Saccharomyces cerevisiae S288C: one gene and its partners. The gene in region 2 interacts genetically with the main gene of each other region. Each region holds a gene or a part of one and is shown on either strand. Other genes may lie near its edges. The genes, in order: JEN1, PPA2, ALD2 and POB3.

What was found.
Region 1: mutations in PPA2 (region 2) and JEN1 together harm fitness less than expected from each alone (positive genetic interaction), as found in Saccharomyces cerevisiae (one large-scale study listed by BioGRID).
Region 3: mutations in PPA2 (region 2) and ALD2 together harm fitness more than expected from each alone (negative genetic interaction), as found in Saccharomyces cerevisiae (one large-scale study listed by BioGRID).
Region 4: mutations in PPA2 (region 2) and POB3 together harm fitness less than expected from each alone (positive genetic interaction), as found in Saccharomyces cerevisiae (one large-scale study listed by BioGRID).

The regions. Positions count from the first base shown.
Region 1 is NC_001143.9:17,922-26,735, forward strand, and holds JEN1 (monocarboxylate/H+ symporter), read left to right. Parts: upstream 1-4,312; coding exon 4,313-6,163; downstream 6,164-8,814. Other genes in the region: threo-3-hydroxy-L-aspartate ammonia-lyase SRY1, read right to left, coding at 1-418; URA1 (dihydroorotate dehydrogenase), read left to right, coding at 7,294-8,238. UniProt on the Saccharomyces cerevisiae protein: Essential to lactate transport.
Region 2 is NC_001145.3:797,593-805,480, forward strand, and holds PPA2 (inorganic diphosphatase PPA2), read left to right. Parts: upstream 1-4,179; coding exon 4,180-5,112; downstream 5,113-7,888. Other genes in the region: YMR265C (uncharacterized protein), read right to left, coding at 1-333; RSN1 (Rsn1p), read left to right, coding at 926-3,787; U6 snRNP complex subunit PRP24, read right to left, coding at 5,296-6,630; TMA23 (Tma23p), read left to right, coding at 6,864-7,499; RRN9 (Rrn9p), read right to left, coding at 7,734-7,888. UniProt on the Saccharomyces cerevisiae protein: Involved in energy production. Its activity is stimulated by uncouplers of ATP synthesis.
Region 3 is NC_001145.3:599,078-607,206, forward strand, and holds ALD2 (aldehyde dehydrogenase (NAD(+)) ALD2), read right to left. Parts: upstream 4,006-8,129; coding exon 2,485-4,005; downstream 1-2,484. Other genes in the region: CEP3 (Cep3p), read right to left, coding at 1-81; aldehyde dehydrogenase (NAD(+)) ALD3, read right to left, coding at 275-1,795; EAR1 (Ear1p), read right to left, coding at 4,791-6,443; HOT1 (Hot1p), read left to right, coding at 6,904-8,129. UniProt on the Saccharomyces cerevisiae protein: Cytoplasmic aldehyde dehydrogenase involved in ethanol oxidation. Required for pantothenic acid production through the conversion of 3-aminopropanal to beta-alanine, an intermediate in pantothenic acid (vitamin B5) and coenzyme A (CoA) biosynthesis.
Region 4 is NC_001145.3:130,864-139,329, forward strand, and holds POB3 (FACT complex subunit POB3), read left to right. Parts: upstream 1-4,636; coding exon 4,637-6,295; downstream 6,296-8,466. Other genes in the region: Golgi transport complex subunit COG8, read right to left, coding at 1-709; DAK1 (dihydroxyacetone kinase), read left to right, coding at 2,612-4,366; ITT1 (RBR-type E3 ubiquitin transferase), read left to right, coding at 6,687-8,081; ERV41 (Erv41p), read right to left, coding at 8,200-8,466. UniProt on the Saccharomyces cerevisiae protein: Component of the FACT complex, a general chromatin factor that acts to reorganize nucleosomes. The FACT complex is involved in multiple processes that require DNA as a template such as mRNA elongation, DNA replication and DNA repair.

The DNA of each region.
Region 1 (8,814 bases), on a different chromosome or scaffold from region 2:
GTTCGGCTGCTAGTTGACGCCCAATCTGCTCGCGATCTTCAGTATACCTGTTATACCTTATGATATGTGCTCCGTAACCGGCTGTAGCAGCAACTTTAAGGGCGGGCGCATCCTCGGGCATAACAATTGTTGCAGGTACATTTAATAGTTTTGCACTAAGAGCAATAGCCTGTGCATGGTTTCCTGATGAGAAGGCAATTACTCCCTTACTTCTTTTTTCATCACTTAATTTTGAAACAGCATTCATTGCTCCACGAAACTTGAACGCTCCCACTCGTTGGAAATTCTCACCTTTAAAGTATATTTGTGCTCCAAGTCGATCATTAAGCATTCGTGAAGTGAGAACCGGTGTTTTATTTACATATTCTTTAATTCTGTTGCTGGCATCCAAAACGTCTCCATAAGTGGGAACAATCATTTTTCCAACTCAATGAAAACTAAATATCTCGAACTATATTAATTATTTGTACTTTTTAAGTTTTTTTTCAATACTCCTTTATTTGAATTTTTGCAGAATGAAAATGTAACTCTTTATATTCCAAAGCTTATCTTTTTCTCACGTACCGTCCTATAGACCCTGATTTTATGATAAGAGGCTGAATTTACTAATTAGTCATTTTTTTCAGTTTTTTTGTCATAGAAGCCACATTTAAAAGAAGTCAGCCAAGTTACCTGTAAATATTAAAACAACCTGCTTAGAATGACTGTTAATTTACAGAATTTACGATAAAAATATAACTTGGCTCTAGGGCGTGATGATAGTGACAAAAAACTCGTCAAGTAAATGTTGGGAGCTTACTTGCCGTCGTTTTCTAACGCCAAAATACACGAATCATGTTTGGGAAATATAAGTGATTAGAACTTGTCCAAGGATATTGTCAAACAATAACATACTACAATAATCCTAGATCGTGTATTATTTGCGTATGGATAAATATACCTCAAGCTTTATGAGGCATAGAAAATTCATTAGAGTCACTACTTACGTCGCACTCTCGAGGATTGGAATGACGAAATCTTCTTCAGCATTTCACCATTCACCTTTTGAAGCTTCCTATCTCGTTGCTTAAGTAGAATGAAAGCATAGCAGCCCAAAAGAAAAGCCTCCCTCAGCAAGAATATTAACAAAGAACAATTCATGGACCGTTTCTACTACTTAATATCTCTATCACAACTGTCAGTCTCAATCAGTACTTAAATGACGCTGCAGAAAAAGATATCATTATTTTTATCATCCCCCTAATAAAATAAGTAATGAATCAATGCCATTAATTCGGGAACTAGTCATATACCTAAGGAATCAGGCTTTGATAGCTCTTTAATAATAATATTAGGGCATTTTTGATATGGTAAAAGATTAGATTAGGAAACCCCTTTTGTAGAGCATCTCACTACAATATCTGCAAAAACGGTCACCTTGCATAGGCAGAACACGCTACCTTTGAGTTAATTCACAGGGGAGAGCCCTTTTTTTTTCTTAGCAAAAGTGCTTAACAATCTTAATTTCTGGAATGTTTTCGGCGGATTGTTGTATATTGTTTGAATTTGTTCGTTCTAAAAAGTGAGACACCTGCACTTTCCACGCCAAGAACACTAATACCTTTAAACATGCCAGCGTACTTTAAAATGCCACGAGTCGCCCCGTACCAAACATGCTGGCGATTGTAATTTTTCGCCTTTTATTGGAATCGAGAATTCGGGCACTGTCCTTTTCTTCGTCATTTCAATGTTATAATCATTTTTATCGCCAAATTTTCTTCAATAAAAGGTCTCTTTTAAAATATGTTACTATGTTTTTTATTTTTCTATTATTTTTCTATGTGATTTTTCAGACGATTTATTCTTTGTTCGAAGGAGAACAGATGCAACGGTCAAGTTTTTACTATCCACATGAGGAGCCGTAATATTCTAAAGGCAAAAGCATGTGTGCTTGTAAAAAAAAATCAAAAAAAGTTACTGCTCCAAGCCAGCAAGCTTTCTCTTTTGCGAAATCTTTAACACGGTTAAAATCAAAGACAATTACTTCATTGACAAGGTCAATGCTAATATTTACGGTCTCCGCACGAAAGACTCTGAAAAATGTTAAAATTTATAGTGGCTAATGCTAATTCAAGAATAGTCTCGGGTTGTTTGATCACATTATTTTAATTTTTATTGAGCACTGAATAGGACCCGTATGTTCCAATCAGTCTATTTCTTGCAACTTAATCTGGTTTGTTTTTAGGGGAGTGGCATTTTTTTTAGGGTTATTCAAATATTCAATTCTGTAATTTGCTTACGACAAAAAGAAAAGGAGAGATGAAAAAAGGGCGACGGGTATAATCTATTCAGCCGCCAATGTCCCGACGTATGCCAAAATGTGGTGCCGCGGTAACAGTAGCATCACACAGAGCATGAGAAAAGCAAGAAAAGTGGAAGTCTGTATGTCACATTTTTATTGAAAATGCTATTTGCTATAAGGTTCGCTATTCAACTGATTGAACCGAGATAGACAAAATGTTAAACTTTTCATAGAGACGTTATTGTGATAGGGTTTACGCTGAGAATGGTTGAAACATACTTGCTAATAAACCACGTCACGTCAAAATATCAGTTTTTCTTTTTTAGTTATTCCCTTCTCACTTTTGACTTGAGATGAGATCGTTACACTTTTATTGAATACGAACGGATCACGATACATCCACATATACGAATGTTCGGCCAGACAGGGCATCAGAGTATATACCCTTTTTCCTAAAATGGAAGGGCCCTAGATCGTTGGCATCAGCGGTTACCTAACCGAAGTGGATCAAATCAGCGCCTATTTTTCCGTTTAGAACGATTAGATGCCGTCAATATGTATGTGCTTACTGTATCATCCACGTAGTAAAGCTGGGGCGTAGCATCCCTAGGTTACTTTCTCAATACTGGGGTCCCTGACCAAAGATAAAACATAACCTATTATGGCGTACGAGTCAAAGTTAAACGCTATTTGACTCGGGCAGCATGCATGACCCGGGGGAATGGAAAACTTCTCATGGCTACCCCAACGAAGCCAGACAAGATCTAGGAGATGTCTCCACCTTCCGAGCTACACTCTCACATCTCTTACATAGACACTGTGAAGTAAGTGATTGCACACAATCCAAAGAAGCACATCAAATAATATGTAAATATTACCCGTACAAATGGCAAATCATGTCCACTTTCCCGTTAGTCATCGGGTGGGCCGGTCCTCGCACTTTCCTTTTGTTTCGGATGTTAATTAATATATAAATGGATCTATAATTTTCAAAAGGTATAAACGCACAGTATGAAAAATATTGCAAGAATAATGTGTTTATAAATTATTTTTTTTGCTGGTAGCAAAATCAACTCATTGTCTTCCATTCAGAGTCTAATCGAACGTTATCGCAATGCTTGCACACTTTTAAACAATACGATTTAGTTTAAGTGGATGGACCCCCACGCTTAGTGTTCCACAGGTTTGTCCCCACTGTTTTTACATTCCACTGTACATTTTTGCAATAGAAGGTCATTGTATGCTACCTTGGGCGGCTAAGAATACCTGTAAAAATTTGGAGAAATTAGATTCGTAAAGAATGACTCGCAACGACTCCAATGATTTCTTCTTTTCACCCTTTGAACGGCCGATATCCGCGCGGGATCCTGACCCCGCAATTTACTCCACTAGACCGGCGTGTTTCTCTTTTTCCTTTTCCTGGGGTTAGAGCCCAAGAGCTAATAGCCGACAAACGGACTCCAAAAAAAAAAGGAGGCACAGGACAAACGCAGCACCTGCGTCATTCACGCTGAAGCGGCAGCAAGCATTTTCGATCAGCTCCAATTAAATGAAGACTATTCGCCGTACCGTTCCCAGATGGGTGCGAAAGTCAGTGATCGAGGAAGTTATTGAGCGCGCGGCTTGAAACTATTTCTCCATCTCAGAGCCGCCAAGCCTACCATTATTCTCCACCAGGAAGTTAGTTTGTAAGCTTCTGCACACCATCCGGACGTCCATAATTCTTCACTTAACGGTCTTTTGCCCCCCCTTCTACTATAATGCATTAGAACGTTACCTGGTCATTTGGATGGAGATCTAAGTAACACTTACTATCTCCTATGGTACTATCCTTTACCAAAAAAAAAAAAAAAAAAAAAAAAAAAAAAATCAGCAAAGTGAAGTACCCTCTTGATGTATAAATACATTGCACATCATTGTTGAGAAATAGTTTTGGAAGTTGTCTAGTCCTTCTCCCTTAGATCTAAAAGGAAGAAGAGTAACAGTTTCAAAAGTTTTTCCTCAAAGAGATTAAATACTGCTACTGAAAATATGTCGTCGTCAATTACAGATGAGAAAATATCTGGTGAACAGCAACAACCTGCTGGCAGAAAACTATACTATAACACAAGTACATTTGCAGAGCCTCCTCTAGTGGACGGAGAAGGTAACCCTATAAATTATGAGCCGGAAGTTTACAACCCGGATCACGAAAAGCTATACCATAACCCATCACTGCCTGCACAATCAATTCAGGATACAAGAGATGATGAATTGCTGGAAAGAGTTTATAGCCAGGATCAAGGTGTAGAGTATGAGGAAGATGAAGAGGATAAGCCAAACCTAAGCGCTGCGTCCATTAAAAGTTATGCTTTAACGAGATTTACGTCCTTACTGCACATCCACGAGTTTTCTTGGGAGAATGTCAATCCCATACCCGAACTGCGCAAAATGACATGGCAGAATTGGAACTATTTTTTTATGGGTTATTTTGCGTGGTTGTCTGCGGCTTGGGCCTTCTTTTGCGTTTCAGTATCAGTCGCTCCATTGGCTGAACTATATGACAGACCAACCAAGGACATCACCTGGGGGTTGGGATTGGTGTTATTTGTTCGTTCAGCAGGTGCTGTCATATTTGGTTTATGGACAGATAAGTCTTCCAGAAAGTGGCCGTACATTACATGTTTGTTCTTATTTGTCATTGCACAACTCTGTACTCCATGGTGTGACACATACGAGAAATTTCTGGGCGTAAGGTGGATAACCGGTATTGCTATGGGAGGAATTTACGGATGTGCTTCTGCAACAGCGATTGAAGATGCACCTGTGAAAGCACGTTCGTTCCTATCAGGTCTATTTTTTTCTGCTTACGCTATGGGGTTCATATTTGCTATCATTTTTTACAGAGCCTTTGGCTACTTTAGGGATGATGGCTGGAAAATATTGTTTTGGTTTAGTATTTTTCTACCAATTCTACTAATTTTCTGGAGATTGTTATGGCCTGAAACGAAATACTTCACCAAGGTTTTGAAAGCCCGTAAATTAATATTGAGTGACGCAGTGAAAGCTAATGGTGGCGAGCCTCTACCAAAAGCCAACTTTAAACAAAAGATGGTATCCATGAAGAGAACAGTTCAAAAGTACTGGTTGTTGTTCGCATATTTGGTTGTTTTATTGGTGGGTCCAAATTACTTGACTCATGCTTCTCAAGACTTGTTGCCAACCATGCTGCGTGCCCAATTAGGCCTATCCAAGGATGCTGTCACTGTCATTGTAGTGGTTACCAACATCGGTGCTATTTGTGGGGGTATGATATTTGGACAGTTCATGGAAGTTACTGGAAGAAGATTAGGCCTATTGATTGCATGCACAATGGGTGGTTGCTTCACCTACCCTGCATTTATGTTGAGAAGCGAAAAGGCTATATTAGGTGCCGGTTTCATGTTATATTTTTGTGTCTTTGGTGTCTGGGGTATCCTGCCCATTCACCTTGCAGAGTTGGCCCCTGCTGATGCAAGGGCTTTGGTTGCCGGTTTATCTTACCAGCTAGGTAATCTAGCTTCTGCAGCGGCTTCCACGATTGAGACACAGTTAGCTGATAGATACCCATTAGAAAGAGATGCCTCTGGTGCTGTGATTAAAGAAGATTATGCCAAAGTTATGGCTATCTTGACTGGTTCTGTTTTCATCTTCACATTTGCTTGTGTTTTTGTTGGCCATGAGAAATTCCATCGTGATTTGTCCTCTCCTGTTATGAAGAAATATATAAACCAAGTGGAAGAATACGAAGCCGATGGTCTTTCGATTAGTGACATTGTTGAACAAAAGACGGAATGTGCTTCAGTGAAGATGATTGATTCGAACGTCTCAAAGACATATGAGGAGCATATTGAGACCGTTTAATCACTTTTCATTGCTCTCTAGGGCGTGTTCGCTTCTCTATGTAACTGCATTTCACATATATTCATATTATAGCCTTTATAACATTACATAAAAGACATGATATACGACATACTTTAAAGTTAGAATTTTTGTTGTATTAATTTTCTCGAAGGGATTAGAATGTAAGTACATTTAAATAGCGCCGCAAGAAACATAACAGCCGTTAACACTAGCAAGATGGTAGATTACTGTGTCTAAGAATTTAAATTGTTTTGCTTGCTTTTGCCACTATAAGACAATAATAGTAATAGAAAAGAAATGTTAGTCGAACAGCAAATTGGTAAAAGTGGAAAAAATTATTTCGTTATTCATTTTAGGCCGTTCAGAAATATAGCATTTTGGTTCTTGCACTGAATGGGCCCTGAGGACAGTGTGCGGCTGGATAGCCATATACTTCGACATTACTTTTCACCTTTGAAGGGGGATGTATGCTTATACACAATCAAAGCTCGGCCTGTGCAGGTTTCACTACATAAGCTTTTTTACCATAGAAATCTTGCAGAAGGAAGTAAGTATCAAGATATTACGTATCGCATCCATAGAACGATAGCAGAAAAATGCAGTATATGATAACGATATGCTTCACAGCTGCGGCCCATTTGGGGAAAAAAGGAAAAGGAGCATCCTCGATCTTACAGATGTCGCTTTTTCCTCTTGAGGTCATTCCCTAACCTTGGATCCAAGTCAATCTGGTATCTTCCCACCCTAAATAGTGTATTCCCCATGTAATAAGATCGGACGATAAACTTCGAAACAATTCTAGCCTTTTTTATTAGATATTTACTCTACTTTAGATTTGGTGATTTTACTAAATGTTATCCTTCAGCCACTACAGCCTACTTTTTCTCACTAATATGTTCTTGAAGCCATTTTCTTCACCGGGCTTTGCCGAAGGTTATTTCACGATCTTCGGCATTCGCCGAAAATTTTTCAAGATGCCCATCACCAAAAAATAAAAAAAGCTTTATATATGGCATGGCATACGCATCGGGAACCGGTATTCTTCTCTTGGATTACACAGTTTGGACTACTAGACGTTTCAAATAGATATACACAATTACTCAAAAAAAAATTGAACTTCCGTACCAAACATGACAGCCAGTTTAACTACCAAGTTCTTGAACAATACCTATGAAAACCCATTTATGAATGCATCCGGTGTTCATTGCATGACTACACAAGAATTAGATGAATTAGCAAACTCTAAAGCTGGCGCATTCATTACAAAGAGTGCTACAACCTTAGAAAGAGAAGGTAACCCTGAACCACGTTACATTTCTGTCCCTCTAGGCAGTATCAACTCCATGGGTTTACCAAACGAAGGTATCGACTACTATTTGTCCTATGTATTAAACCGTCAAAAGAATTATCCTGATGCACCTGCTATTTTCTTCTCAGTTGCTGGTATGAGCATTGATGAAAATTTAAATTTGTTGAGGAAAATCCAAGATAGCGAATTCAACGGTATTACCGAGTTAAACTTGTCTTGTCCTAATGTGCCTGGGAAACCACAAGTTGCTTATGACTTTGACTTGACAAAGGAAACCTTGGAAAAGGTTTTTGCCTTTTTCAAAAAACCTCTTGGTGTCAAGTTGCCTCCTTATTTTGATTTTGCCCATTTTGATATCATGGCAAAAATATTGAACGAGTTCCCATTAGCTTATGTCAACTCTATCAATAGTATAGGAAATGGTCTTTTCATTGATGTGGAGAAGGAGAGTGTAGTAGTGAAGCCAAAGAATGGTTTCGGGGGTATTGGAGGTGAATATGTTAAGCCAACCGCGCTCGCCAATGTTCGTGCATTTTACACTCGTTTGAGACCTGAAATCAAAGTTATCGGTACAGGTGGAATTAAGTCCGGTAAGGATGCATTTGAACATCTTCTATGTGGTGCCTCTATGCTACAGATTGGTACAGAATTACAAAAAGAGGGCGTCAAGATTTTTGAACGTATCGAAAAAGAATTAAAAGACATAATGGAAGCTAAGGGTTATACATCCATAGATCAGTTCCGTGGGAAGTTGAACAGCATTTAATTATCGGAATTTGAAGAACTATGATGGGACAAGTTATGGAAGAGTGTTAAGATTCGTATGAATATTTTATTATTTTGAAATTGCATAAATCAAGGATAGTTGGTAAATGCTAATTCCTTAATTTTTCGGTGAGTGCATTCGCAATTGGCATCATACATTAGGGTTCAATGTGCTTTAATAGATGATGATACTAAATACTTATACTTTGAAATAACTTAATCAATGTAAATTATTGTCTTGATTCATTTATACTTAAATTTTTATATCTCAACATATGATATATCCTTACATTAAGACTTATTCAAGAAACATTTTTCAACGATAATTATTAGTAGGCTAAAAATGGCATAGGAACCAGAAAATAATGTTGAAGAAATGAAGCCATCTGTTTAATATTTGGGGAAAAAAGTGAAGAAATTAACGAATATGTGCATATATATATATATATATATATATATATATATTGCACAGGTGATTTTGATGTAGAATGTAGCCTTTTCGAAAGAGTAATTTGGTTTTATCTACAGAGTTCCGAAACATTGTTAAGTGCCTGTTCTTATATAATTAAACTGTACT
Region 2 (7,888 bases):
ATCCGCATTCCACGAATACCTTCTCGGTTTAGTCTTCGAGATCTCAATAGCAGCCTGCAGAAACCCCGGCTCATTCCACCAGCCTCCATTCGGTAGCGTGCTCGATGTCAACAAATTTAGTAGCTCACGTGTATACAATTGCTCTGTAGGACCCGGCGTTGCAAATAATGTATTGTCGAAGTCGTATATGTGCAATTTCGTAATCGCATGCTCAGGAACCTCAAAGGGCACGGCCAACTCGCAAGCGCAACTATTCCATTTTCTGAGCACACGGTGATTGCCACATCTGCTGGACATCTCCCCTTTCCTTCGAAATTCTTCAAATTCTTCCATTATACTCGTTTGGGTTATGCAGACAAACAGCACATATGATAATTCATTTTTTTTCTTCCATTATACGCTATAGTAATGTAAGACCTGATCTACGGGTTCGTTTCTTCTATTTCCGTTACCCGCCGTGCACCACAGCATCGCTGCGGTTCCGTCTGCGTGAGTCGTTCTGCGCGAATCACTTCCCGCAGCTGACATCACAGGGGCGGCCTTTCCTGGCTACGATTTTTTAGCGGGAAAGGCACACCCTTTCTTCTCCTTTCGGGTATAAAGTTTCTTCTGTGTGGATTCTGTGGGCCAGCTTCGGTTTTGAAGTTGGAAAAAAATTCTTCATCTTTGTTTTTTTATCGTGGAAAAGGAAGAAAATACTTGATAACCAACAGCAAAGCCGCATGGCTTGGCACTCGATCTTGATGTTGTCCCGTGCCTGGTTGTATAATATTATTATTAATGGCCATTTCGTAATCAAATTTCGGTTTGTTGTTTTTTTCTATTTCTTTTTCATCTTATATATATTAATTCGTTTGCCTTTTCCGTTTCTTTTTGTTTTAGTAATCATAAGTTTACGGCTTAGCAGCAAGGGCAAAGGGACAAAATGAATAGTACTAATAGTACTAATAGTACTACAACAGCTACCAGTACAAACACGTCAACTCAACAAGTCGTTACTTCTTTGGTAAGTAATGGTACTATTTTTGGTGTTTTTGTCATAGCGTTCTTGATTTTGCGTATAAAACTAAAAAGGATTTATGAGCCCAAATCCTCATTCAATCTGATTAATGAAGAAAAAAAGCCAGAACCGCTACCGCAGGGCGTCTGGCAATGGCTGAAGCCGTTATTGAAAAAATCAGACAATTTTGTCATTCAACAAGCCGGTCTGGATGGATATTTCTTTTTGAGGTACCTTTTCATCATTGCAATTTACTGTGCTGTTTCCATGAGTTATATATTCCCTATTTTGTTGTCCATTAACGCCAGTAACGGTAACCATGAAAGCGGATTGAATCAATTGGCCTATCAGAACGTCAAGCACCGTGGTAGATATTTTGCACATGTTTTCTGTGGATGGATTTTCTTTTGGGGGTTCCTTTACATTATTTACAGAGAATTGTATTTTTACACCTCTATGAAGCAAGCTGTACTAGCGTCCCCTCGTTATGCTAAAAAACTATCCTCGAGAACCGTGTTATTCCAGACTGTCCCTAAGCAATACTTAAGTGAAGAAGAGTTTTCTAAGTTGTTTGATGGTGTGAAAAGAGTCTGGATCGCAAGAGGTTCCGGTTCAATTGAAGCAATGGTCAAAGCAAGGGACAATATGGCCATACAATTGGAAGGTGCTGAAACAAAATACCTGAAAGCAGCATTGAAAAAAATTAAGAAGTTAAACAAAAAAAGTCCGCAATTATCTGTCTCTGATAATATTGCTGAATATGTCCCTGACAAGAAAAGACCACATCATAAAATTAACAAGGTTGCTAAATTCTTTTTTGGTAAAAAAGTTGACACCATATCCTACATTAAGGAGGAGTTGCCCAAGTTAAACCAAAAGGTGAAGGCATTACAAGAAGATCATGAAAATTCATCCCCTTTCAACTCCGTTTTTGTGGAGTTTGAATCCCAATATCAGGCCCAAGTTGCCGCTCAGATCACCACATACCATGCTCCTCTTTTCATGACGCCTGTGTATATTGGTATTGAGCCATCCGATGTCGTTTGGTTTAATTTGAGGATGTTCTGGTGGGAAAGATTAGGTAGGGAAGTCAGTGCGGTTTCAGCAATTGTCGCGCTAGTAATATTATGGGCTTTCCCAGTGGCTTTTGTTGGTATGATCTCTAATATTACTTCCTTGACTAATGAAGTTAAATGGTTAAAGTTCATCTATAAATTACCAAAACAACTATTAGGTTTACTGACATCTCTGGCCCCAACTGTGGCATTGGCCGTTTTAATGAGTTTCTTGCCGAAATTTATTAGGGGTATGGCTATCACTCAAGGTGCTCCATCTAAGCAAAATGTGGAATATTTCACTCAACAAGCTTATTTCGCCTTTCAAGTTATCCAAGTCTTTTTAGTTACCACTCTATCCTCCGCCGCCACTTCCACAGTAACGGAAATTGTTAAAGAGCCCACGAAGGCTATGGATCTACTGGCTTCTAATCTGCCAAAAGCTTCTAATTTTTTCATGTCATACGTTATTCTACAAGGTCTGTCCATTTCATCAGGTGCTCTTTTGCAAATTGTTCCACTAATACTCTTTTATGTTTTAGGTGCCTTTTTAGATGGTACCGTTAGGAAGAAATGGAATCGTTTTTGTGGGCTATCCAGTATGCAGTGGGGGACAGCTTTTCCAGTTTATACAAACTTGGCAGTTATTACTTTCTCCTACTCCATCATTTCTCCGTTGATTTTATTATTTGCTGCCGTCGCGTTTTTCCTATTGTATATTGCATATTTATACAATTTGACTTATGTCTATCAGGAATCACCCGACGCAAGGGGTATTTATTATCCAAGAGCTCTTTTCCAAACTATAGTTGGTATCTACATCGGTCAGATATGTCTATTAGGTCTTTTTGCCGTTGGTAAAGGTTGGGGCCCAATCGTTTTACAGGTAATTGGAATTTGTGTTACCGTCCTTATTCATTTACATTTGAGCGCTGCATTTGATCATTTATCAAAGGTTATACCCGTTGATACCATGAAACCGTTAGATGGTGTATCAGATACACCTTCTTTCAAAAATATTTATAAAGGCATAGAAAGTACAAAGGTGAAGAAAAATACTTTTGGTGCAAATATTGACATGGACGGAATCAAAGAATTACCTGAATTTCCAATAAAGAAATATCACAAGAGGAGTGAATCAGTCACTGAGCAACAAGTTGAAAATAGCATATTTAGTGAAAATACATTCGAATATCAATTCAACCCAGCAAATGAAGCCAATGCAGATGGGCACGCTATAAATGCAGAAAATTTAATTGAGGACGTGCCATTATTAGCAGATGGTGATACAATGAAAATTCCTCCGGCTCCATGGTGGAAGAGATTCTTAAAACCTCACATTTACTACTCCTATAAGGCTGTAAAGAGCAGACTGCCAGAAATATATGGTTTGGTTGATCCTGATGAAAGAGTCAATGATTTCGATATCTCTCATGCTTACGATTATCCAGCTGTTAGTGCACAATGCCCCGAATTGTGGATTCCTCGCGATCCTTTTGGATTTTCCAAATTGTTGATTTCAGACGTTTCTGGCGTTGTTGAAATGAACGATGAAAATGCTACCATCGATGAGAATTTGAAATTTACTCTGCGTGACGTACCACCACCATATAATGATGTTAAAGACGAAGCAAATGGTGAAGCAAATGGCGAATTTGACACAGCTAGTAAGGAAAATAATCCATTTGCGGACCCAAAGTATAAGGAAGAAGAGAGTCGTTCGGCAGTCTAAAGGTTAAACATTATCAGAAATTATCTATTCCTATTTGTTTAGCTGTTATCCTCTGATGGTTGAATTGTAATTTTACTAAGAAAAGGAGAGGAAAAGGACGTGCATATATTCTTTTAATACATTTAAAATATGATTCTAATCATTTCTTATATAATAGTGTATAGTCTAATCATTCATCGTGTATAGTAACCCTTTTTGTTTTTTTTTATGCAAAGTTTTTTTGTTTTTGGCAATCTATGAGGTTTGAATATTGGATAAAAGGAACTCCGCACAGTAATACGGAGCAGTCAGCTAATTTAACCAGCACTAATAGGGAGTACATTCAATTGGAAACTTTGATTCGCTTGTATGCGTGAAAAGCAAATTCCCTTCTAGAGAAGTTACTGAAAAACATGAATTTATTACGAATGAATGCTTTAACAAGCAAGGCTAGGTCAATAGAACGGTTAAAACAAACATTGAATATTTTATCCATTCGTAATCATAGACAATTCAGCACCATTCAACAAGGCAGCAAATATACCCTCGGGTTTAAGAAATACTTGACATTATTAAATGGAGAGGTTGGTTCTTTTTTCCATGATGTCCCTTTAGATTTGAATGAACATGAAAAGACCGTAAATATGATTGTTGAAGTACCAAGATGGACAACTGGAAAATTTGAAATATCCAAAGAACTTAGGTTCAATCCGATCGTTCAAGATACGAAGAATGGCAAGCTTAGGTTCGTGAACAATATCTTTCCCTATCACGGCTATATACACAACTATGGTGCTATTCCCCAAACATGGGAAGATCCCACAATTGAACATAAACTGGGGAAGTGTGACGTGGCTTTGAAAGGTGACAATGATCCTCTTGATTGTTGCGAAATCGGTTCGGATGTTTTGGAAATGGGTTCCATTAAAAAGGTCAAGGTATTAGGATCACTCGCTTTAATTGATGATGGAGAATTGGATTGGAAGGTCATAGTGATCGACGTAAATGATCCTTTATCCTCTAAAATAGATGACTTGGAAAAAATTGAGGAGTACTTTCCTGGGATTCTAGATACGACTAGGGAGTGGTTTAGAAAGTATAAAGTTCCAGCAGGGAAGCCATTAAATAGTTTCGCCTTTCATGAACAGTATCAAAATTCCAATAAAACCATCCAAACTATAAAGAAATGTCACAATTCGTGGAAAAACCTCATTTCAGGATCACTCCAGGAGAAGTATGACAACCTGCCTAATACAGAAAGGGCTGGTAATGGTGTCACACTTGAAGATAGTGTTAAACCCCCTTCTCAAATACCGCCTGAGGTGCAAAAATGGTATTACGTTTAATATGAAAATAATACCTTCGAAGAAAATGTTTAGATAAAGGTTCCTTGTATATAATTACGTAATCTCTGCTCTCTCGAATGTTGGCTGCTTGATGTATGTGAACGTTTGGAAAGAAACTTGGGTTTATATTCACTGCTAAAATGACATCCTATTAGAAGTTCGTCTTTCTCCGGTTCGGTTAGTCTACTCACCTAGAAACATCTTGCGAAAATCGTCGTTGGACATCTGCTCTTGTTTGTCAGGAATTTTTTTCTTTACTTGAAGATTTGGTCCTTTTTCCATCATGTTTATACAACTAGGTTTGACGTGTTTCATGCTGTGATTCTGTTGATTGTTATAATATCTTTTCATGTCATTAATAGTACCTGAACGTATCACCTTTCCCTGAAATTGAGATCCATTTAGTATCATTAGCATTTTTGCTGCAAACTTACTATCTCTAAATATAATAATGGCGCCATTGAAGTCGCTAACGAGAAGTATTTTCCTAATATCTTTTTCATTGATGTGTATTTCTTCCTGAAGAAATTGGCAGATTAAGCTTGGTGACACCTTATCTGAAAGTGGAAATAAGCATATTAGTGTTTCTAGTTCTTTGCTGTTACGCGATGCGAGAAGTCTTTTGACTTCGTTTCTTTCTAAGAATGGTTTTTTATCAGCCAAGGAAACGGAAATTTCCCTATTACCTAACAAACTTCTATTCATTTGAAGTGCCCTTTCAGCAGAATCTTTATTTTCAAAAACCATAAATGCACAACAGTTATTGAAACTGTGCTCTTTCTGTCCAGCAGGTATGTTGATTTTTTCAATGGAACCAAATCCCTCAAAAGATTCCCTCAGAAGGTTTTCGTCGAGCAATTCTGTACTTAGGTTTCGTATCATAATCTCTCGCCCCTCTAGTGTGGCAGAATCGGTCCGTTTCGACTTTTCCAGCGGATTGGAAACTTTAGTAACTAAAGTATAACCTTCTATTTTGAGTCCATTCAATTTTTCTACACAATATCTTGCATCCTCTTTAGAAGTAACATCGATGTAAGCGAACCTTCTGCTTGTATTGAATCGTAAACTGGGAAGCCGTATACTGAGTGCAACAACGTTAATATCTTGCAATAGATCTCTAATATTTCTTTGAGTATAACTTGGGGGGAAATTCGTCATCCATAATGTGCATTCTGTTAAATGAGATACTATAATTTCATTCTGACCTACAACTTTGTGTGTTTTGGTTATTGCAGCGAGGGCTCCATCATACCTGGCAAATTCAATACGTGCAAAACGAAAGTTCTTCTTCAGCGAATCCGCAACATCAACGTGTATAATGGGCCCACAATGTTTGAAGTACTTATAGACTTTGTTTTGATTATAGCTCTTAGGCAAATTTTTGACTAATACAGTTGTTAATTCTCTATTTCTTGTTAAAGCTTCGTTCGCCTTCTTAGAAGTTAATCCTGCGGCTGCTGGTGATCCTTCATCCAATGGTCGTTTTGAATCTGGTCTAGCGTGATGTCCATACTCCATTATCACAGATTATGAAGTGAATATGTGGGCTTGTTTATCGCTAATGATTCTCATATAATAAATATAAAGGGTTTTCAATGTTGTAGTAAATCTGCCATTTTGAATAAGTTCCCGCCTGAAAATTTTTTAGCGATGACTTTAAAAAAGACATTGATGCACTCTACAATTCATTGTCATGATGTACATAGAAAATTGAATGATACAAGCGGAAATATTATCAGAATAAATCGGACATGGATAGCAAAGAATATCTGATATCATATGGTTGGAAAGAAGGAGAAGCGTTTAGAGAAGGTGGTTTGAAAAGACCCATACTGGTAAAGCACAAGAGAGATAAGAAGGGATTGGGTAATGCTCCTGGCGGGAATGATGGCGAAGCATGGTGGGAAAGGCTATTTGATGGACATCTGAAGAACCTGGATGTAAGCACTGATTCGAATAATGGCAGTATTAAATTTACTCAAAATGAGGCAGTTGCTACTGCTGTATCGAAAAGTAGCTCACCTCTATACAGGTGGTTTGTAAAGGGAGAAGGGCTGAAAGGAACCATTACTAATCTTGGTAAAAAGGAGGAAGCCAGCTTTGTTGTATCTAGTGCAAGTTCGAGTAAAGGGAAGAAGAGAAGAAGGCGTGATGAAGATGATAACAAGGTCAAGAGAAAAAAATTGAAAAAAGATAAAAAGACTAGTAACGACAGTGAGAGTAAGAAGAAGAAGAAGAAGAAAAGCAAGAAGGAGAGTAAAAAAGGAAAGAAAAGTAAGCATAGCAGCGATGAAGGTGATAAATCGAAGCATAAAAAATCCAAAAAGTCAAAAAAACATAAAAAGGAAGAAAGTTCAGCAAGAAGAGATAGAAAGGAGCATATATGATTATCATAGTCTAATATGTAAATATGTATCCGTAAAAGACATTCTTAAAAGTTTGAATTTATGATCTTTTTATTTTTGTATTTAGTCTTTGTTTTCGAACTTTTATTAATATTAAATTTCAGTAAGTAAATTAAAAGAACATCTTTAAAAGAGTATATTTATTGTTACATATGTTGATCTTAAAAGGAGATGAATATTTCTTAATGGAAAAAGGTAAAAAAAAGATTTTCTCATTCATATGTTCCCATTAGGCAGTTCTATGAGGCAGTCGTCCAACTCGTAATCAGAGATCTCATTCTCATCCTCTAAGTAGCCCTTTACCTGAAAAAATGTTCTTTTGTTTAGAGCATCTTCCGTCTCTTCACGATTTAAGCGTTGTAGCTTGGATT
Region 3 (8,129 bases), 200 kb from region 2:
CATACGATCACATTTGACTTTTCGCCTCGTACACACGGAACAGGGATGCTTGGATTTCAGTTGAGTGGTACGGTTAAACATTATTATTAGGATGCAAACTCGTGTTCGTAACTTTTGTCATCACCTGCTCTCTGAAGGTTGGTTATAATATTTCATTCTCTTACGCTTAGCTTACATGGCTGCGCGCACTTCATTTAAAGCCGTAAAAAATAAAGATTTCATAGAATATGAAGCTTTGAATCTCATGTAAACATTTATATAACTATGTAACGAATTATTTATCCAATGAAAGATCCACATGGACTGATTTTATTTGTAAATAGTTATCAACGCCGGTGTCGCCTGATTCTCTACCAATACCACTCATCTTAAATCCGCCAAAAGGAACTTTAGCTTCTTCTTGATTGGTTTGATTGATCCAAACAGTTCCTGCTTTAATATCGCGAGCAAACATGTGCGCTTTCTTGACATCTTTGGTGAAGACCGCAGAGGCGAGCCCGTAGCAAGTATCATTAGCCAGCTTCAGAGCGTCATCATAATTTGTGAACTTGCTAACAACCACAACCGGGCCAAATATTTCATCACGCAGCAACTTAGATGTTTCTGGTACATCAGTGAAGATGGTTGGGGGAATGAAGTAGCCTTTAGCTCCACCAATAGGAAATTCAGAGGTCTGGAACATGTCCAACTTTTCCTCCTTTTTACCACGTTCTATGTAACTTTTGATGCGGTCATACTGTGTACTTGATATAACTGGACCAACGATGCATTTCTCATCAAACGGATCAAATTTTCCTGCAACATCCCACTCCTTCTTTGCAGTTTCTTTAAACTTTTCAACAAACTTGTCGTAGATCGAACTTTGAACATAAACTCTTGAGTTTGCAGTGCAGATCTGTCCCGAATTAAAAAAAATACCATTTGCTACCCATTCTATAGCCTTATCAAGGTCTGCATCTTCAAATACAAGAGCAGGAGACTTACCACCGCATTCTAGTGTGATATCCTTAAGGTTCGATTGGCCGGAAGCTTCCAATACTGAGCCGCCAACCTTAGTACTTCCCGTAAAAGATATTTTGTCGATATCCATGTGGGTTCCTAAAGCTTTCCCCACAACGGAACCATAACCAGGAATGACATTGACAACACCAGGTGGAAAACCTGCTTTTTTAATTAAAGTAGCAAAATAAAGTAGAGATAGAGAGGTATTTTCAGCAGGTTTGATGATAACCGTGTTACCGGCCGCTAAGGCACCTTGCATTTTTCTACAAGCCATAGCTAGAGGATAATTCCATGGAACGATTTGAGCAACAACGCCAAAAGGAACTTTTAGAGTATATGCAAACTTGTTAAAAGTCAATGGAATGGTTTCACCCATATTGAACTTGTCGACCGCCCCCGCATAGTATCTTGTAAGTTCTATAATCTGGGCTAAGTCTTGTTTAGCATTGGAATGGAAAGGCTTACCAGCGTCTAAAGTCTCTAATGCGGCAAGTGTGTCTTGCTCCTCCTCAATAAGTTTTAATAAGTTTGAAAGATAAATACCACGTTGCTCAGAAGATGTCTTCGACCAAACGTTATCAAAAGCAGCCCTGGCAGCTTTCACAGCTTTGTCTACATCCTTTTCGTTAGCTGCTTGGAAGGATGTTATCGGTTCGCCAGTAGCTGGGTTCACAGTTTCGATGGTCTTTCCATCTGATGATGGACAAAACTCATTGTTGATAAACAACCCTAGCGGTTGCTTTAAAGAGATTTTCAATTGTGGGATTTCGATATCAGTATACAAGGTAGGCATTTTTCTTTTGGCTAATTTTCTAAATGTGTATAATCTATATCTCTATGATACAAGTCCAAGGTATAATTACCTGGCATGAGTCAAATTTATTCCCATCCAGATTTGCCATTTTATACAATTAGTTTCTGAGGTATGATCAGTTAAATCTACGCTATTCGTTTGAACAATCTCCCTGTCTCCTCCCTAAACTTACTAATTCCTTAACCCTTAGGGAGTTTAGCAATCAGCTTAAGAAGGGGGCTGATCAACAATCCGGTTCAAGTCTTGGATTAGCAGTAATGAAAATCCCTAAATGCACTAAAGGGCGTGGAAGAAAGGTACTGTAGAGTTCTAATAGTGATACTTTCCTTGTACTCCAGGGGGGGAAGGAAGAACAGACGTCATATGCAGAAAAAGAAAAAAAAAAGACGGAAGATCTACGTAATGGTGGGAATAGAGAAAACTAACACGCAAGTATAATTTCTTGACACAAAAATAAATCTCACTGAGTTTATAGCTCTATTTTTTTACCATCTTAAGGGATTTCTAGGACCTAGTAACAACAATTGTTCCGCATGCTGAAATAATGGTGCTTACAGTTTTATATCGAGTAGTGGACTACTACTGTTTGCTAGACTGTCAACATATTCATCCGTCGTCAGGCTAAGCTATTTAGGTACTTACGCACTTACATAATGATAACTATCACATTAGTTGTCCAAAGAGAGATTTATGTGAACTGCTTTTGTTTGAAGATAGGTATCAACACCACTTTGCCCCAGTTCTCTACCAATACCACTCATTTTAAACCCGCCAAAAGGAACGGTAACATCTTCATCGTTAGATGAGTTGATCCAAACAGTTCCTGCTTTAATATCGCGAGCAAACATGTGCGCTTTCTTGACATCTTTTGTGAAGACCGCAGAGGCGAGCCCGTAGCAAGTATCATTAGCCAGCTTCAGAGCGTCATCATAATTTGTGAACTTGCTAACAACCACAACCGGGCCAAATATCTCATCCTGTAACAGTTTCGATGTTTGCGGGACATCAGTGAAGATGGTTGGGGGAATGAAGTAGCCTTTAGCTCCACCAATAGGAAATTCAGAGGTCTGGAACATGTCCAACTTTTCCTCCCTTTTACCACGTTCTATGTAACTTTTGATGCGGTCATACTGTGTACTTGATATAACTGGACCAACGATGCATTTCTCATCAAACGGATCAAATTTTCCTGCAACATCCCACTCCTTCTTTGCAGTTTCTTTAAACTTTTCAACAAACTTGTCGTAGATCGAACTTTGAACATAAACTCTTGAGTTTGCGGTACAATTCTGTCCTGAATTGTAGAAAATGCCAGCTGCTATCCAATCGATAGCCTTATCAAGGTCTGCATCTTCAAATACGAGAGCAGGAGACTTACCACCGCATTCTAGTGTAACGTCTTTAAGGTTCGATTGGCCGGAAGCTTCCAACACAAATCCACCGACCTTGGTGCTTCCCGTAAAAGATATTTTGTCGATATCCATGTGAGATGCTAGGGCTTGGCCTACAAGTGATCCATAACCAGGAACGATATTGACAACACCAGGTGGAAAACCTGCTTTTTTAATTAAAGTAGCAAAATAAAGTAGAGATAGAGAGGTATTCTCAGCAGGTTTGATGATAACCGTGTTACCGGCTGCTAAGGCACCTTGCAATTTCCAACAAGCCATAGCTAGAGGATAATTCCATGGAACGATTTGAGCAACAACGCCAAAAGGAACTTTTAGAGTATATGCAAACTTGTTAAAAGTCAATGGTATGGTTGCACCTTTGTCAAACTTATCAGCGGACCCAGCAAAATATCTGGTAAGCTGTAAAATTTGTGCCAAATCACCTTTGGCATTTGAATGGTAAGGCTTTCCAGCGTCTAAAGTCTCTAATGCGGCAAGTGTGTCTTGCTCCTCCTCAATAAGTTTTAATAAGTTTGAAAGATAAATACCACGTTGCTCAGAAGATGTCTTCGACCAAACGTTATCAAAAGCAGCCCTGGCAGCTTTCACAGCTTTGTCTACATCCTTTTCGTTAGCTGCTTGGAAGGATGTTATCGGTTCGCCAGTAGCTGGGTTCACAGTTTCGATGGTCTTTCCATCTGATGATGGACAAAACTCATTGTTGATAAACAACCCTAGCGGTTGCTTTAAAGAGATTTTCAATTGTGGGATTTCGATATCAGTATACAAGGTAGGCATTTTTCTTTTGGCTTATTTTCACGATTGTTTTTGATGGACATGCAATGTAAAAATGATAGGAATGGGCCAAAAGTATTTTTAAGGATTCGCTCCCTTTATATGAACATTCTTGAGCAAAATTCGGGATATGATCAGTGAGTGTCGACAAGATTGCATCCCTAATGTTTAAACGAGTTAAAAAAACTCATCATTGGATAGGAGTAACCAATAAAGGGTATATGATTGCTATTATTAGTATCCAAAAGCCGCCGGGAACATCATAGGGCGTTAGCAAGTAAACGCATGGCACGATAATGGCAACCTTGTTTCTTCTGGCGGCAAAAGATAAGGCAATGCAAAATAAAAAACGAGAAAAAAAAAATGATAGAAGGGAAAGATAAGCAAATTTTCTTTCGAGCTGGAACGCTTCATTTTAATCTCACGCATTTGCAACCCATGCTGATGTCTGAAGCGCTGACAAATACTTCATACGTTCTTCTTGTGACACATTAAGAGGTAGCACGGAGGTGCAAGTAAAGATGGCAAAAGTACGGAAAGTAAGAAGGAAGTTTGCGGGTCAACCAGTTGCCCTTACTAGTGTACGTAAACATATGTATATATGTATGTAAATATCTATATGCTGCACTGCGATATCGAGTAGGTGATAGCGTTGAAACCCTCAATAAGGAAGAAAACGTTATAAATTGCAATGTTTTTAAAAAATGGTGGCTCTGCGTAATACAGCGCAAAAAAAGATAACTGACCGGGGCTAGTGTTTCAGCCTTACTATCTCATGCATTTTCGTATTATATGCCATGCATCCTGCTTTCGTAATCATCAAATTCTGAAAATTGTTCGGGATCTCTCTCGTGATCATTTTCATCTTCGTTATCATTATCAACACTATCGAAAGATGCTTCATCAGTAATTAAATTTCTGCTCGTTCCAATAATTCGTCCGCTTATTGCTGATTTATCATTTTTCGAATGATGTTCATCGTCCGAGTAACTTGGTGGTAGCATAGGTAAGGAATCTAGATTAATTTCCTCATTGATGATCTTCTTTCCAGTGGGAGGGGACATAGTGAATTCAAATCCAGGTGGTGGCGGTAATATTTCACCGTTTCTTATAATTATATCATCATTGAGATTTGTAGTACTACCAGCCGCAATATTGTCGCTATCACCGTCTGAAAAATCTTCGTCGAAATCATTGTCTTCACCACCGCTTTCTAATAGGGTATCTTTACCGTAGTCTTCGTAAGAAGGAGGAGGTAATTTAATGCCGTTTGACTTTGCGTATCCCCATTTTTTAACGTTTGCTTCTATATAAACAAAGCCATAAGTGCCGAAATTCACATGAATTTGACAAGGTACGTTGGAGCCAATGATCGGGTATAGGTATTGGAATTTCCAGCCGCGGATATGACCACCAACAGATTTTTCATTTAGTTTTTTTCCGTTCCTGGTGAAAAATACTGTTCCACTACGTGACCTATAGCCAATGCCAACAATGTCTCCCTTTTCACACTGTGGAAATAACGTTCTTAATTGCTCATTTAGTTTGAAGGAGTCATTAAATCTTCTGGCGCCGTTAGAATCGTATGCTATCGAATGGTGGTGTCTTCCCGGTAACCTGAAATATGGATAAGGCTGTGTGGAAAGACCAAATGAGATGACACCTTTCGATACATTTTCATCACTGTTTAGTGGGCCATCCGTTTCAAATATCTTGAATTCACAATAATATACTTTATTTATACACGGAATGGGTAGATTTGTGGATATAGAAGCATCATAATTATAATTTAGAAAAGAAACCTCTGTTTTATTTTCCACTATGACAGTATGGTTTGGCATATCAGGATTTGGGCTAAACTCCCATGCATAAGCCCCCTCTTCTTGAATATATTGCCTTGTTTGCTCGTTCATAATAGGGTCTTCACGGGTGGTGTCTGGATTGCTATCTTCGGACTGTTGTAAAAGTCCCTGGTTAAGCAGAAATGGTGGGTTCTGCTTGATATACTCCTCACCTTGCTTATAATAAAACTGCTCTTCAGGTGACAACTGTGCCAGCTTATCTCTTACTTCATCAGCATCGTCAAGATTGTTGGGCCACCTTAAACTCATGTTTTCCATTAATCTTCTGCTATGAACGTGTGCATTATTTTCGTCATAATCGCTGAATAAAGATATTCTTTGGCCAGGGCCATGCTCATTATAATATGCAGTTATAAGCCGCGTAGCTATCTGTTTTGTAAAAAAATAAACGATACAGATGACGATGTAGACCACGATTAAGGTTCCAAACGCAAACAACATTATATCCATGTTAAGTTCGTCAGTATCGTCTCCCCCATAAGATACATCGCCACGGGGGATCACCGAAGATCTACCACACCGTATTTGTCCGCTTATCGAACCGAGAAGCAGCGATTCTATCAGAAACTTGAATGACATTTGCTTTTTTATATAGAAAAAAAATTTGGCTCTCCAAACTTTAAGATTTTTTATAATTATTAACCAATGACAATATAGATAACTTGAAACAACTCTTGAAAATTTTGTAGTTAGGCACCAGTCCTTTGGTTTTTCAATGTTCTATAAAAAATCACTCCTCCATGCAGCAGTAAAGCGCTATTCTCAAAAATAGCTCAACCTGAGAGAGGAAGAAAGAGCAGTAGTAAATAGAGCAAGGTTCTTAAAGCCTGTATCAATGAAATTTTGTTATGGCGTTTATATGGATAACCTGGAATTTGCCTTTTTTCTTTATAGCGCACCGTTCCGAAGAAAAAAATAAAAAAAAAGGGCCGACGGAGGGTTAGGTCAAATTAAATATTGAGCTAGGTTTAGTTATCTCTTTTTTAGGTTTTTTATATACAAAAAAGATTATATTTAGGGTACATATGGCTGGAGCATAATGTCTGGAATGGGTATTGCGATTCTTTGCATCGTACGTACAAAGATTTATAGGATAACCATCAGCTTCGATTATTCTACACTGATGAGCCCTTTCTTCTTATTCTTAATGATGCCCACTACATTAAAGGATGGGTACAGGATGAATAGTCAAGTAAATGAAGATGCTATAGGTATCAATCTTGACCTCTCACTGCCCACTCACATTTCGCCTACGACTGGTTCAGAGAGCGCCAGTGGCAGTAACGCCAGTACACTTCGCAACGATGGAAATGCACTAGATGGAGGTCTTTTGAGGACTTCAGCAGCGATTTCAGCACCCACAGGTACCAGTCAACCAACAGAAACTATTGGTGAAAAACTGAGTAATGAAGAGCGGGTGAACTCGAATGTTTCCGCTTCGAACTCGACAACGGCGGGTACAGGGCGTATGTTAAGCCAATCCTTGACTAATGATTCACCGTCGAACGAAATATCGACGGATCAGTTGAAGATTTTTCAAAGAATGGACGAAATGAGTGCCCGAATGATTGAGATGGAGGAAAGCTTCAACAAGTTATCTAATAAGATCGCGGAACAGAATACAATGGTTTTAAACCTAAAACAAGATAACTATAAAGTTATGAACAAATTGAATATATTACTTAAGTTGGTTGCGCAGCCAAGCGCGCGCCCAAGCACAAACAATGCCCAAAATAAGCTTGCTATCGAATTGCTAAATTCGATATCAGCCGTTAGTAGTGCTTACTTGCAGAAAATGCAGAATAATGGCTCTGGTAGACAGCATACTGCTGATTTATGTACAGGAGATTCCAACACCCATTCTGGTATCAACCAGCATCGGACTACGAATGGAACCATAGATGTGAATACGAATACTGCACAGCTAAACAACCAATTTTCTAACGCACTAAATACTATCTTACCTGATCAGCAGCATAATCGAAATAATGTTTCCCAAAATATAAACCAATCGCTCCCTAACCGACAACTTGGTCCTGTTATAAACACACAAGCCAATCAGAACCAGTCGCAGGTTTTAATTCATAACACAAATACACATCAGCAGGTAAATCGCTCGCCTATTAGTTTCCCGAACGCTTCAACTGACAAGCCATTCAAGTTGAACCCAAATGGGATTAAACGGCGCAGAAGAAATACGCAAAGTAACAACAATGCGAGCACAAATGACCATGCTAGTGCTGCACAAAAGCCCATATCAGCCCT
Region 4 (8,466 bases), 670 kb from region 2:
TTGAACCAGGGAATCTTGACCTCAGGGAAGTAGTGTGTGTGTATAGCATGACGGCCTCCTGGTAATGACCTGTTCTGATACATGTGCGGGCCAAAAATGGTAGTTCCATCAAATCCGTAATGCTATCCAAATTTTCTAGTACAGTGACTAATGTGTCAGATCTAATGTCGTCCTTGTCATCTTCTTTAGTTGAAATTCTGTTTCTTAACCTACTTAATGCCTTGTGAAACTCATCCTCCTTCTTCTTTCTTGCCAGATTGTTACTCTCAGTCGTCATGATGCGACCTGTGTCGTTGTCTTCTTTATCGTCTTCCAAAAAGTCATCAATAGAAACGCTTTCATTGTTTATATCGTCATTTGTAACGTTTCGATCGGCTGCCTTATTAATATTAGTATCCAATTCCCATAATTGCTCCAAAGACTTGGCTATATCATCCAATTGAGCCCTATCATCGTTTTCAAGAATATTTCCGATAATCTGAGACGTATTATCTAGTAGTGTTTTCCTTATCTTTCTATCAAGGGCAGATAATTCAGCATCAATTTCTGCTATGTCTTCAGTTATGCTACCAGGAACAGCCCTAGATGAAAAATAACTTTCATAGTCTTTCGTGTTAGATTGTAGGATATCCTGTAGGAAATCAAGACTTAACCGTTTTTGTTCCTCTGTTAAATCATCAGAAATGAGGCTGTTTAGTATCAGCTCCATTTTACTCAATGATTATGTTTATTGTTGAAATATGTTCCCTCAAATGTCCTAACACTTCTATGATTATTTTTTCTGTGCTTCTCTTTTCAGTATGTTACTACGCTATATTTTTAGACATTGAAGCCATGATCGCGAGATCGATCTAATGTACGTATAAAAAGAAAATGGACTTCAAGAGTACAACTAACTAAAGGAAAATCCAACTCTTCCTATAAATTTAGAATTAGCATATTCAAAAAAGAAGAAACAAAGCACTCACGATGGGGGTCGAACCCATAATCTTCTGATTAGAAGTCAGACGCGTTGCCATTACGCCACGCGAGCTAAATTTCTTGAATTGTTGGGTAAACAAATATTACTAATACAAATGTTATTAGAAACCAAAAATGCACTTTTCCGGGGTTAATATATATGATTGAGTGATGGATGAAGAATGAGATAATTGTTTAAATTCTATAGTTGTCAAGCGCTGTGATACCAGATACACAAAATGTACTAGAGGTTCTCCTCGAGAATATGAAAATCCACAATAGAGAACCGATATTTCTGTGTAGGAATATTATTATTTCTTCTTTCATTTTGTATGTTCTCGTTCATTTTCCTAGCACATTATCAACCCTTTCATTTCAATTTCCATTAAAATTGGTGACTGTTTCTCAATATTTATTTGACCGTCTTATACCCAATATGGTAATATACCAGTAATATAAATACTAGTCGTTAGATGATAGTTGCTTCTTATTCCGAAAATGAGTATGGAAGTGTTGCATATGATAGGGCGGCTACAGTGATGGTAAACATAAGATACTTTAGCGGGAAATTAGCAACTGGAAGTTAAATTATCTAGACATAAGTGTGGCGGTCACGCTGAACGCAGGAGATCGGATAGATTGATAAGCTGATCAAGAACATTGATCGGTTTGTTGTTTAAAGAATGGTTTTTGAAAACGTTTGACCAGTTGCTTCTCCCAGACGCTTACCGATATGATGATAAAGATAATATCTTCAATTGAATACCCCGTGGATCAGCACGAATAACAGAAAAAAAGGGTGAAATTCACCGTAAGCATGATACGCACTACGTTCTTCTTACCTTTGCCAACGTGTTGTCTTTGACGTACGTAATTATGGGAGATCGTTGATGATTAGCCCCAGCTCACTTTCTTCTTAATGACTGACCCGCTACTATCAAAATTAAGGTGTCAAATATCATGATGAATGAGGTCTCTAGGCGACTCAATTATACATCTTTTAGAGATTTTTTTACTACTTGCAGATAATTTCTCAAGGGATTAGATTCAAATCTGGCTTGTCAATTACGCCCTTTTCAAGCTCATCAAATTGCGTATGTCATTCATGCTTCCATTAGGAACCATAGAAGCATGGCTGAAATGGCAATATACGGCTTCCCAATTTCAACTCTAAAGTAATGGCGGTCGAATTTAATCTATATTTTACAGTTTTATACGTACTTTAAAAGCAATCAGTAAACACCTCTGGTGCTATTCAAGGGTTTTTTGCCTTTATTTGTTACTGTCAATTGTCTGGCGCTGTGATAAAAAACAAGGCATAAAGCTCCCCCGTCATGAACATTAAGACTCGCTAGACGAGAGAGTGAAATATAATGCATTTCCTGATTTAAATGCGCTACAAACATGGTGTAAATCTGGCCCGGAGTGAGTGCTTGCCAATTTGGCTTCTAAGGGAGAAAGATCAAACCACTCCCAATTGCGTCATTTTGAAAGAGTGGCCACCTCGCGAGCGTCTGTCGAACTAACTGATGAATAAATATATAAGGAGAAAATCACTTCAACTTCGCTACAAGTAGTCACTATTTGTAGCAACTGTAAACGAACACATCAAAGAATAAGATTACATTCTATATCTAAGACTAAATTTTAAATGTCCGCTAAATCGTTTGAAGTCACAGATCCAGTCAATTCAAGTCTCAAAGGGTTTGCCCTTGCTAACCCCTCCATTACGCTGGTCCCTGAAGAAAAAATTCTCTTCAGAAAGACCGATTCCGACAAGATCGCATTAATTTCTGGTGGTGGTAGTGGACATGAACCTACACACGCCGGTTTCATTGGTAAGGGTATGTTGAGTGGCGCCGTGGTTGGCGAAATTTTTGCATCCCCTTCAACAAAACAGATTTTAAATGCAATCCGTTTAGTCAATGAAAATGCGTCTGGCGTTTTATTGATTGTGAAGAACTACACAGGTGATGTTTTGCATTTTGGTCTGTCCGCTGAGAGAGCAAGAGCCTTGGGTATTAACTGCCGCGTTGCTGTCATAGGTGATGATGTTGCAGTTGGCAGAGAAAAGGGTGGTATGGTTGGTAGAAGAGCATTGGCAGGTACCGTTTTGGTTCATAAGATTGTAGGTGCCTTCGCAGAAGAATATTCTAGTAAGTATGGCTTAGACGGTACAGCTAAAGTGGCTAAAATTATCAACGACAATTTGGTGACCATTGGATCTTCTTTAGACCATTGTAAAGTTCCTGGCAGGAAATTCGAAAGTGAATTAAACGAAAAACAAATGGAATTGGGTATGGGTATTCATAACGAACCTGGTGTGAAAGTTTTAGACCCTATTCCTTCTACCGAAGACTTGATCTCCAAGTATATGCTACCAAAACTATTGGATCCAAACGATAAGGATAGAGCTTTTGTAAAGTTTGATGAAGATGATGAAGTTGTCTTGTTAGTTAACAATCTCGGCGGTGTTTCTAATTTTGTTATTAGTTCTATCACTTCCAAAACTACGGATTTCTTAAAGGAAAATTACAACATAACCCCGGTTCAAACAATTGCTGGCACATTGATGACCTCCTTCAATGGTAATGGGTTCAGTATCACATTACTAAACGCCACTAAGGCTACAAAGGCTTTGCAATCTGATTTTGAGGAGATCAAATCAGTACTAGACTTGTTGAACGCATTTACGAACGCACCGGGCTGGCCAATTGCAGATTTTGAAAAGACTTCTGCCCCATCTGTTAACGATGACTTGTTACATAATGAAGTAACAGCAAAGGCCGTCGGTACCTATGACTTTGACAAGTTTGCTGAGTGGATGAAGAGTGGTGCTGAACAAGTTATCAAGAGCGAACCGCACATTACGGAACTAGACAATCAAGTTGGTGATGGTGATTGTGGTTACACTTTAGTGGCAGGAGTTAAAGGCATCACCGAAAACCTTGACAAGCTGTCGAAGGACTCATTATCTCAGGCGGTTGCCCAAATTTCAGATTTCATTGAAGGCTCAATGGGAGGTACTTCTGGTGGTTTATATTCTATTCTTTTGTCGGGTTTTTCACACGGATTAATTCAGGTTTGTAAATCAAAGGATGAACCCGTCACTAAGGAAATTGTGGCTAAGTCACTCGGAATTGCATTGGATACTTTATACAAATATACAAAGGCAAGGAAGGGATCATCCACCATGATTGATGCTTTAGAACCATTCGTTAAAGAATTTACTGCATCTAAGGATTTCAATAAGGCGGTAAAAGCTGCAGAGGAAGGTGCTAAATCCACTGCTACATTCGAGGCCAAATTTGGCAGAGCTTCGTATGTCGGCGATTCATCTCAAGTAGAAGATCCTGGTGCAGTAGGCCTATGTGAGTTTTTGAAGGGGGTTCAAAGCGCCTTGTAAGTACTTGGCTCACGAATACATATCAAGATACTTATGATATATATATATAGAAAAAGCTTACTTTTCTTGGAGTTATTGTTATTATCATCGCGAAGAACGATTGTATAACCCGGTTCAACGCGAAACGAATCGTTAAACTGGTGAAATGTTAACGCGAGTGTCAGAGATATACATAGTATGAGAGTAGCTAGATGTTGAATCGGTGGTAAGAACAAGAAGGAAATACCGTTAACAAGTGAAGGAACAATCTAGTATTGTTGAACAAGAATTATGAGTACCGACTTTGATAGAATTTACTTGAACCAATCTAAATTTAGCGGTAGATTCCGTATTGCTGATTCTGGGTTAGGGTGGAAAATTAGTACCAGTGGTGGCTCTGCAGCAAATCAGGCAAGAAAACCATTTTTATTACCAGCCACAGAATTATCTACCGTCCAATGGAGTAGGGGCTGCAGGGGTTACGACTTGAAGATAAATACCAAAAATCAAGGTGTTATCCAACTAGATGGATTTTCTCAGGATGACTATAACTTAATCAAGAATGATTTCCATCGCCGTTTTAATATTCAGGTAGAGCAAAGAGAACATTCCTTACGTGGTTGGAACTGGGGTAAGACAGACCTTGCCAGGAATGAAATGGTTTTTGCTTTAAATGGTAAACCAACTTTTGAAATTCCTTATGCTAGAATAAATAATACAAATTTGACCTCTAAAAATGAAGTAGGAATAGAATTTAATATTCAAGATGAAGAGTACCAACCAGCCGGTGACGAATTGGTAGAGATGAGGTTCTATATTCCTGGTGTTATTCAAACAAACGTCGATGAAAACATGACCAAAAAGGAAGAGTCAAGCAACGAGGTCGTACCAAAGAAAGAAGATGGTGCTGAAGGAGAAGATGTACAAATGGCAGTAGAGGAAAAGAGTATGGCAGAAGCATTCTATGAAGAACTAAAGGAAAAGGCAGACATCGGGGAAGTCGCTGGTGATGCAATAGTTTCCTTCCAAGACGTCTTTTTTACCACGCCAAGAGGTCGTTATGATATCGATATTTACAAGAACTCCATTAGACTCAGGGGTAAGACCTATGAATACAAATTGCAACATCGTCAAATACAAAGAATTGTTTCGTTACCAAAGGCAGATGATATCCATCACTTATTGGTTTTGGCAATTGAACCTCCTTTACGTCAAGGACAGACCACCTACCCCTTTCTTGTCTTACAATTTCAGAAAGATGAGGAAACAGAAGTGCAATTGAATCTAGAAGATGAAGATTATGAGGAAAATTATAAGGATAAATTGAAAAAACAATATGATGCTAAAACTCATATAGTTTTAAGTCATGTATTAAAAGGTCTGACTGACCGTAGAGTCATTGTTCCTGGAGAATATAAATCCAAATATGATCAGTGTGCAGTTTCATGTTCTTTCAAAGCAAACGAAGGTTATTTGTATCCATTAGATAACGCTTTCTTCTTTTTAACTAAGCCAACTTTGTACATACCATTCAGTGATGTTAGCATGGTAAACATTTCAAGAGCAGGACAAACTTCTACGTCATCGAGGACGTTTGATTTGGAAGTGGTACTGCGTTCAAATAGAGGTTCTACCACTTTTGCCAACATCAGTAAGGAAGAGCAGCAATTATTGGAACAATTCCTAAAGTCTAAAAACCTAAGGGTGAAGAATGAAGATAGAGAGGTACAAGAAAGGTTACAAACCGCTTTAGGTTCAGACAGTGACGAAGAGGATATTAATATGGGTTCCGCTGGTGAAGATGATGAATCAGTAGATGAGGATTTTCAGGTCAGCTCTGATAATGACGCAGACGAAGTTGCAGAAGAGTTTGATTCAGATGCGGCTTTAAGTGATGCTGAGGGGGGTAGCGACGAAGAAAGGCCTTCGAAGAAGCCTAAGGTAGAATAGTAATAATTTTAGACTGTATAAGTTAAATTTATTGATATTGTGTAAAAACTAACTAATATATTTTGCCAATTGATATTATCATGACATGGTGAGTGTAAGACACCACCTCTTAATTACTGGTGTTATTCTATACATTTATTTGAAATTGGTTTTGTTTTGCAAAATATTTATGTTTTGTTAATCTCCTCTACCCTTTCAATGCTTGAAAAATACTTTCAACTTTTCGATTGGGTGATGAAAAAAAGACAAATAGTGTAAAGGGTTCAAAAATAAATAACAAGCAAGAGAAAGGGACTTTGCTTTTCTCATTTAGTCACCAGTAAGTTATGTCATGGTGTAGAATAACGAATTACAGAAAACTAATATAACTGATGAAAGACCAGGGAGTAAAATGGCTTTGACTCAGTTTGAAAATGATTTGGAAATATTAAGAGATATGTACCCAGAACTGGAAATGAAATCGGTAAAAGTAGAGGAGGAAGGTGAATTCCCTCAAAGAATTAACGGAAAGTTACTGTTCAAGATATCACTATTGGCCGATGTAAATATTGAGTTCGGCGAGCAACATATGTTACTTTCAAACTTATCTAATGAATGCGTGGAGTTCACCATATATAGCTGTCATTATCCGGACATTCGACGGTGTGTTGTTATGGATATCAAATCCTTATGGATATCAACAGATGAAAAGAAGATGTTAATTGACAAAGCGCTGAGACTCGTTGAAGAAACTGTAGATATGAGTATTGAGTTCGCGGATTCGTTTACCTCCATCCTTATCCTCATCTTTGGGTTTCTTATAGATGATACAGCTATATTACTATTCCCTAATGGAATAAGAAAGTGCCTGACACAGGATCAGTATGACTTGTTTAAGCAGATAAGTGAGGAAGCCACCCTCCAAAAAGTGAGCAGATCTAACTACCATTGTTGTATTTGTATGGAAATGGAAAAGGGTGTTAGAATGATCAAATTGCCATGTGAAAATGCGAATGTAGAACACTATCTTTGCAGAGGATGCGCCAAATCTTATTTCACTGCAATGATTCAGGAAAACCGAATATCCAGTGTAAGATGTCCACAATGCGAATACAAAGAATTAAAACTAGAAGATTTCAAGAGCTATAAAAAAATGCTGAAGGCATTGTTTACACCTTTGATTCCAGTGTCCTTCTTAAAAGAGGTTATCGATACAGAGCTATGTGAAAGATACGAAAAAATGTTCTACAACCAGGCGGCTACAAGACTCTCAAAATATTGTCCGTATGCTTGTGTGACTTGTCGAAGATGTGATAGTTGGTGCACAAAAGAAGACCTCGATGATGCGATGATTCAGTGTCAAAAATGTCATTTTGTATTTTGCTTTGACTGCTTGCATGCCTGGCATGGTTACAACAATAAATGTGGCAAGAAAGTTTCGTTATCGACCGATATTATTGAGGAATATCTAGATGATACCGTTACTTCATATGAGAGAAAGCGGAAACTGGAGGCAAAATATGGGAGAAGAGTATTAGAACTTGAAGTCAATGATTACCTTGCTGAAAAAATGTTAGATTTAGCGATTAAAAAAGAGGGTTCGAATTTGCAGCGATGTCCAAAGTGTAAGGTAGTTGTAGAAAGAAGTGAAGGTTGCAATAAAATGAAATGCGAAGTATGCGGGACGCTGTTCTGTTTTATATGCGGAGTATTACTTTATCCTGAGGACCCTTATGAACATTTTAGAGAAGCATATTCAGGCTGTTATGGACGATTGTTTGAAGGTATGCCTGGCACAGAAACTTGAGTGCGATCGCTCTGCCTTCAGTCTCACACTTTTTCTTATAATCTATTGTCATGAAATTTATACAGATGAAAATGAAACGTTATCTTGGGTATACTGCATTCTCTTTTCTTTTACATATCTACCTATCTAAAATACCCTTAGTTTTATCATCTGGCTGATAACGCAAGGACCACTTAGGTCCCATGATGGTGATAAGAGCCATATCCAGTAGTGTGAAAATCCACGAAGCACAGTAGACCAAAAATGAGCAGATTGCCACTAATCTGACCAAAAACTGTATAAAGCTTAAACGAACATCAGAAACTACTATGGATAATGGTTCGAAATTGTATTTGAAGAAGATGCCCGGCATTTTATCACCTTTAGCAGCGACATCTTTGTACAA